Alligator mississippiensis: one gene and its partner. The protein of the gene in region 1 interacts with the protein of each later gene in a pairwise test. Links are inferred from orthologs where the notes say so. Each region holds a gene or a part of one and is shown on either strand. Other genes may lie near its edges.

Evidence for each region.
Region 2: the proteins of CBX5 (region 1) and INCENP interact in binary tests that used the Homo sapiens proteins (3 or more experiments, as listed by UniProt). The link is inferred for Alligator mississippiensis from reciprocal best matches to the Homo sapiens genes CBX5 and INCENP.

The regions. Positions count from the first base shown.
Region 1 is NC_081838.1:7,979,834-7,983,575, reverse strand, and holds the start of CBX5 (chromobox protein homolog 5), read right to left. Parts: upstream 2,409-3,742; 5' UTR 2,393-2,408; coding exon 2,303-2,392; intron 1-2,302. Other genes in the region: HNRNPA1 (heterogeneous nuclear ribonucleoprotein A1), read left to right, coding at 2,664-2,696, 3,342-3,458. UniProt on the Homo sapiens protein: Component of heterochromatin that recognizes and binds histone H3 tails methylated at 'Lys-9' (H3K9me), leading to epigenetic repression. In contrast, it is excluded from chromatin when 'Tyr-41' of histone H3 is phosphorylated (H3Y41ph).
Region 2 is NC_081825.1:179,238,620-179,242,361, reverse strand, and holds the start of INCENP (inner centromere protein), read right to left. Parts: upstream 2,598-3,742; 5' UTR 2,506-2,597; coding exon 2,378-2,505; intron 756-2,377; coding exon 639-755; intron 1-638. Other genes in the region: inner centromere protein, read left to right, coding at 2,977-3,037, 3,572-3,716. UniProt on the Homo sapiens protein: Component of the chromosomal passenger complex (CPC), a complex that acts as a key regulator of mitosis.

The sequences.
Region 1 (3,742 bases):
GCTTGGAGAGGCCACCAAAACGTGGGGGTCAATCCTGCTCCGTGGCAGCAGACATGGCTGAAGCCCAGAGCGCTGGGTCTTCTGCACAGGGCAGGATTTAGCCTCTGGCATCTTTCCCAAGACTCATCTGTTTTGTCCCATGTGTTCTCCGATGGCATGGAAAACCCCAGCCACGGCTCGAAACCCCTCTGGGCCAGGCCACAGACCAACGCACAGGCAGGACAGTGCAGGGAGCCTCCCAGGAATGCAAGAGTTCACCTAGCTGAGGCCCTTTGGTTTCGCCTCAACTGATCCATCACCTCCCATTGATGCCACCCCAACTACCCAGGACCACAGCAGATGCACGCACACACCAGCCCTGGTTAATTTGGGAGAAAGAGGCAGCAGGAGCCTGCCGGGGTCTCCACGCAGCACCAGCCCCTCCCAGTCTGACACAGCTGCAGTTGCCAGCCCGTCTGGTTACTAAGATACTGCAAGGCTAGCCGAGCCCTGCTGCAGCAGTCTAGCCAGGCAGACAATGGCTCAGCAGCAGGAGCTCCCCGTTCATCCCAGCGGAGCCTAAAGGCAAACCCCGCTGCCGGTCGGGCTGAAGTTACCGCCGCCCATTGTTAAAGCTCAGGCCGGGGCTTGCTAGAGAAGCACGAGGCTGAGGCGCAGGCAGGGGGACTCCGCTGCTATGGCCTCCGGGGGGCAGAAACCCAGTCTGCTCCTGCACGGAGCCCGTTCCCCTTCTCGGCTCTCCAAGTCGCTCTGTTTAAACACAAGGCTCCCCTTGTTAGCCACTGCAACGCATCTGGGACCCAAGTGCTTCTTTCCACTGGAACCATTACAAAGAGAAGTCACATACACAGGAGCGTTGTAGGGGGCAGCTGGGTAAGAGGCCGCAGCCACAGCCACATTTGCAGACTAGACATCCCCTGGGGGTGGGAAGCGTTAAAAAAACGCAGCAATCTCGCCTCGCCGTGCTCTGGGACCAGAGGAGGCCTCCAAGGCTAAGCCCAGGCCCCTCGTCAGTACCTGGCCGTCTGGTCCAGCTGGAAGGAAAGCTCATGGCTCGTTGTTGGCCGAGGAGCTGTGGTCTCACCTCCCTGGCTCCATTTGCAAAGCGCACTGATCTGCTGCAAGGGGCCGCGCGCTGCAGCCAGGGTACGAGATGGCCGCAGCTTCCACCAGCAGCGCCCATGCTCCGAGGCCTCGTGTGAGGGAGGCGGGGAAGCAACTGGTGTTCGCTCTGGCTTGAAGGCCAGAAAAGCTTCCACCGTGGACGGCCCCCATGCTATTGTGCAAGCCAAGCAGGACCTCCCTTCCTCCCCAGCGCCGCCCCCCCCGCTGCCTCAATACAAGGAAAAGGTCTCCCAATCGGAGCCTTTCCCATCCGTGCTACAGCCGTGGTGCCAAGGACCCCCAAAGCCGCCCAAAGCCTTCGCGCACATGATTTCCAGCTGCGACACGCGGCGGGGTTCCCACCCGCTGCCCTCGTGAGGCATCGCCCCACGTGCCCAACCCTTACTCCCCACTGCAAAACCGGCTGGGGAGGGGGGGGAGGGAGGTGGGCCAAAGTTCCCCCTGGCCTACGAAGAGCAGCCCCCACCCCCGTTAGCGGCATACAAGCGAGGTGTTTGCTCCGCTCTCCCGAAAGGGGTGGGGATCCAGCCGCGAGGACCAGCCCTGGAGATTGGCACGAGAACGACACTCAGCCCCAGCCCCAAACCGGAAGCCAACCCCCGCTCCTCGGACGCATTAAAGCGGGGACCTAGGGCCATGGTGGGGGGGGGGGGGTCCCTCGTGGGTATGCGGGTCCAAACAGGGTCCCAGCCCCCCCTCCCCCGCACCCACGTGGTCGGTGCGGTAACCCCCACCCCCCCGACGTCACAATGAGGATCGAACGCCTGGATCCATTCTAAGGTGGGGGGGGTAACTCGGTAACGGGCAGCGGGGCGGGCGCTTAGCCCCCCCCACCTCGGCCGCCGATTGGCCGGCGCCGCTGGCGCTCCCGCCAATCCGGCCGCGTTCCAGGCGCGCGCGGAGAAAAGCGGCACGGCCATTGGGCGCCGCCGTCGCCCGTCCGCCGGCGGGGCCCCGCCCCTCCCCGGTGCCGAAGCCGCCGCCCCATTGGCGGAGCTGCCCGTCCCTCACGGCCCCGCGCCTTGCTCTCGCTCTCCTCAGGCAACGGCGCCTCCGCCCCGCCCCCCCGGAGCCAACGCGCCGCGCCATTGGCCCACGCGCGTGTCTGTCAAGCCCGCCCGCACTCCCCCGTTCACTGCATACAACGAGCCCCCGGACCGCGCCGCCGCCCGGGTACCTCGGGATGCAGCGGATCCGGCACCCCTGCCTCTCCACTCCGCTCCTGCGCAACGCCCGCCGCCCGCCAAAACAGCCCGCGAGCGCGCATGCGCCGGCGAGCCTCGCACCGCGCATGAGCGCCCAGACCCCTCCCTCCTAGGTGCCGCCCCCCCCACCGCTACGCCTGCGCAGTAGGGCGAGCCCCGCGCGCTGCTGCGCGTGCGCGAGCCCGCCCCCGGCCTCTTCTTAGAGCGCGTCTGAACCGCGGCGCGGCTTCTCGCCCTGGTGGAGTCCGCGCGGCCTCGCCTCCCCGCTCCCACCTGTGCCCGGACCCCGGCGTGAGGTAGTAGCGGCGGCGGCGCGGAGCAGGGCGACCCGCGATGGAGCGGATGGAGCCGCGAGCGGGAAAGAAGGTGAGCGCGGGGGGTGGGGGAAGGGGCGGGGCTCTGCGCATGGTCGCCATGATCGGGGGCGGGATCGTTTCTGTCCTGGCCAATGGGGGAGGGCGCGGGTGCTCTTCCACCAATGAGAGCCTGCAGCCTCTGGGATTCCGCCAATAGGAGGCGGTGAGGGGGGCGGGGCGCAGCGGCTGCCGCCCAATGGGAACTCGCCGGCGGGGTGAGGCGGTGGCGCCGGCGTTGCTCGGCCCCTTTCGGAGCCGGCACCTCAAGGAGCCCGCATCGCCGCTGCTGCCGCCGCCATGTCCAGGGCCGAGGTGCGTCGGGGCCTCCTCGTCCGCCGGGGTCCTCCCGCCCGTTGGGGTTTGCGCCTGCGTGGCGGAGGGCGCCGAGCGGTTTTTGCGCTTGCGCAAGTGGGGGTGGGCTTGCGTGGCCGGCGGGGCGGACGACGCATGCGCGGCGCGCGGGGCCATGCGGGCGGGCGCCTTTGTGCTCGGCGCGCCGTGGCGACTGCGCATGCGCCGGAGCTTCCTTTCTCCCGGGGCTCCCGCGTGGCTCGGCAGGGGCGGGGGGGCGGGTTTGGGGTACCTGCGGGCGGGAGCTTAGCCCCCAGTCCTGCGAGGTCTCGTTTCCCGCTCACTCCCTGCTATTCCTCTCTAGTCTCCCAAGGAGCCCGAGCAGCTGCGCAAGCTCTTCATCGGCGGTCTGAGCTTTGAGACGACAGACGAGAGCCTTCGCAGCCACTTTGAGCAATGGGGCACGCTCACCGACTGCGTGGTGGGTGTCCCGGGCTGGCCCCTCAGCTGAGTTAAACCCATTTAATGAGCTGCTATATATTCTTCCTGCGTGGGAGAAAGGTGGGGGGTAGATAAGCTCGTGTGGCACTTGTACTCGAGGAGACTGAAAATTGGTCGGGGTCTTCTTGTCCTAGCCTTGGTCCGATGGAGTATTGAAAGCCTTGGTGCTTTGGGGTTGTTGGATGGGTTTCCTTAAGCTGCCTTTGTGGTGTTAAAGATGCACTGCCGTTGATGTGATTAAACAAGCGCAAACAGCATCCTGTC
Region 2 (3,742 bases), on another chromosome or scaffold:
CCCAGCAGTTTGTTGTAGTGCACGCGCAAGTGAATGGGAAGCCGTGGAGCTGCAGGGCTGCACTTTTTGGTCTGGTCTGTTCCCCAGCATCCCCCACTCCTCTCATACTCCCAAAGCAGGTGGGAGAGGCTATGGGTGCATGTGGCTCTGGCTGTTTGTATTCAAGCTCCTGGAGAAGCAGCACTTGCCCTCTCAGATACAGAGCAGGCACTGGGAGGGGGCAAATGATGGAAAAAACAGGGCACAGAGGGTAAGGGGCTGCCTCCTCACACTCACCTGGCATGAGCTAGAATCTAACTCAGTGGTTTGCAGCCAGGGTGCCTTGAGGCTAAAAAGCTTGAGAACCACTAGCCTACACACACATGGAGAGAGACAAAGAGATTCTAAAAGAGCAGCAGTAGCTGCTTAATTCCTTCACCTGTCACCTAAAATAACATTTCTTCTATGCAGCATGTGCTTAAACAGCAAAATGTATAGATCATATTAAAGCCATCCTCCCTCTTAGAGGGATTTCTTCACAAATTTTCTACTTAAGGCCTGAAAAGCAACAACTTTTTAAATGCAAAAACTGGGATAAGATCCCAATCAAAAATAGTTTTAACATCTTCAAATATAAGGTACTCCAGGGACTTTCCTACCTCTTCCTGGTTGGATCTTCATTCTCATCCTGAACAAGAGAAATACGCTTCTTCCTGCGACGATTTTTCTGTGATGGAGTTTTTGGCATCAACTCTGGCTCATCATTACAGTCACTGCTTAACAGATGAAACAGGAAAAGTAGTAACATTACCTGGGCACTTTACTTGCTTGTTATGCCAGCCTGTCTCTGAAAGGCAGCTCTCCAACTAATGAGAAGATAAACGCAATGTCATGGGAGACCACAAGGCTCACTTCTGCTAGGGCTGCAGAGATGGTAAGGAAACTGAGGTGCCAGTAGTCCCACACAAAGCATGTGCATGATGGTCTTATTAAGTTGGGACCTTAAATTTCAGAGGATAAACAAAAACCTCCTGTACTACATCAGGACTAGTCAGAATACAGTTCTCAAGTCACCAAGAAGCTTTAAACTTCTCACCTAGAGAGCTTTAGAGAAAATGTCTTTTTTTCCTGCAAGCACCGAGTCCTGCGGTTATGAATAATAAATATACATGCTAGCTATGTCTATCAGTTGTGGTAAAATAACGATAGGTTTTCTCTTTTGAAATGAAGGGCTTTTGACATCCTTGAGCTGTGTGCACCCTGTGCTTAAAGCCAGCTGTTCACCTGGCACCAGAAAGCATGACTGGATCAGAGGGTCAAATCTCAGCCTGACTGACCTACCCTTGGCATATCTGTTATCAACCCCTGCCCCTCGCTTCCACCTGTTATTGCAAGTTGCCCCAGGAACTGTGATGAAAGCCCCAACTAGCAACAGGCCAGGGGATAATACCTTGCTCTTTGCCTTTGAGGCATTAATGGCTGACTTACTCCGTGCTCAGTAGACACATGTATGATTAGTACTGTTATTATAGGAAATACCTGCACTTTCCCAGTGACTTCCTCCCAGGGATGTCACTGTACTTGGCAAGCATTTGCAAATGTATCCTCAGACCACTGAAAAAGTGAACAGTAATGCGCTGGGGTGGGGGTTGCTGCACTTTGTATTCTTTTGTTGCTTCAAGATATTGCTCCTGAGCCTTTTTTCCAGGACCACAAGCGAGTGAGCAAGCCAGGTGTGGCAGGGTCAAGCTCTTCAGGGCAGATCCTGCCTTGAGCAACCCTGGCTAATGCACAAGAGGATCAGAGGCGCAGCCCCACACGGAAACAGTTAGCACCCCCTTGTTGCTGGGGGAGTCCTTGGGGCAGCTGAAGCCTTAGCAGGGACAGAAGAACAGGGCAGGCGTGATAACAACAAGCACTGGGCTGGGGAAGGGGGCACAGCAGAGGGCACGGGCCCTTCAACTTGCTGATGCAGCCGAGGGGCCCCACCAAGCCCCACAACCTCCTGCTCACCCCTCCTAGGCAGAAAGGAGGGGCCGGAAAGACCCTGGGGCACTGCCGCCTTCCTGCCCTTGCCCAATTCCCGTATCTGTGGCCCAGCTGGAACCATCCCTTCACGTACCCTACCCAGGACCCCTCACGCGTGTCCCGAGAAACCAGCTCTTCCGTCCTCAGCAGCCTCCCGCTGCCCTAGGGGGCTCGGCCCACGCTCCCCCTGCAGAAAGGAGGCAGAGGACCCCGAGGGCCGGAAAGGTAGCGACCGCAGCCGCCCCAACCAGGGCCTCCCGCCGGCCAGGGCTGGAGAAGACCCAGGTAGGGGTTGGACATGCGTGGCCGCCCCCCTCGCTGCCCCCACGGCCGAGCCAGACGACGGCTGGGAGGAGGGGCCGCCCCGCACCTGCCGAACATGCGGGCCGCCTCATCGCGGATCTCGGCCAGCCACACCAGGTCCGTCTCGTCCACCTCGCGCAGGAACTCGGCCAACCGCCGACTGCAGGTCTGCACGAGGTGCGCCGTGCCCGCCATGGCCGCGCCGCCTGCAATGGCCCGAGCCACCAACGGTCAGAACACACCCGCCGCGGCCTCGAACGCGGCCCCCCCACTTCCAGCCCCGCCGGCGCCCGCCTAAATTTTTTGAATCGAGCTCATCCCCCCGCCGCGCTCATTGGGCCACCACGCGCTTACGCCACAAAGGAAAGGGGCGGGGAGAGAGGAAAAGGAAGGAAAAAAGCAGTGCCGAGCTACACAACAGGCCCTGCTAGCCAGCGGACTCTTGTACCCTGGAGGACTGAGTCTGGGAGGAGCTTCCGCAGGGCAGGTAGGAGGAGAAGGAGGAGGGACCAAACCAAGGCCAGGAGAGAGCTGATAGGCGGGGCAGCTAGACAGAGCCGCGCCGCCTCCGTAGCCTGTAGCTAAACGGGCCGCGGTTGATGGACAAGAGCGCTAGCCAAGGGCGGGCCGCTCCTTTACAGCGCTCCCTGATTGGCGCAAGGTCGGATGACCTCGGGGAGGGAAGCCAGCCATTGGCTCTTGCTTTTTGCGCTGGGCATCGCTGTGGGTATGGCAGGCGGTTCCGGTTAGGAGGGTGCCTGTCTAGCTGACGCCTCTATGGTCGTCACGGGCACTTCACCAAGGGTGGGGCGTGGGAGGGAGCTTCTGTGTGGCGGGGGCGAGGCCTGGCTGCCTCTGCGTGTTCTCTGGCCGGGGGCGTCTCTCACCTGCGGCGGGGGTGGGACAGGACGCCTGGGTCCTCTGGCTGCCCTGTCTCCCTGCAGGGCTGGGGAAGCCCAGGGAGGAGGGGCTCCTGGGTTCCAGCACCCCTGGGTGTGGGAAGGAGCTGGCAGCGGGGCTCCTGCTGCTGGAGCAGAGCGATGGGTGCTGATGGGGGAGCTAGACTGGTTGGGTCTGATGCCTGCTCCTTCCCTATGGGACGCCTTCCCTGTGCCTTTCATCCCCTCTCTAGCTTGGGGATAGCCTTCTGTCTCCCAAAGGGATGGTGGGGGCGTAGCTGTCTGCCCCAGGGTTCGATGGTACCCTACGAAAGGCGCCTTGCCTAGCGATCGGCTCTTTCCTCCTCGCCCGCCCGTTGTAGGCAGAGCCATGGTGGAGATGGTGGGTCCCACCAACCTGCTGGACTTCTGCAGCCAGAAGCTGTCGGAGTTCCTGGGCAATGCCGAGCACAAGCATTTGGCGTGGCTGCGGGAAATCGAGGAGGAGGCGGTGAAGATGTTTGATAGGTTGGTCCACCTGACTGGCAGGAGAG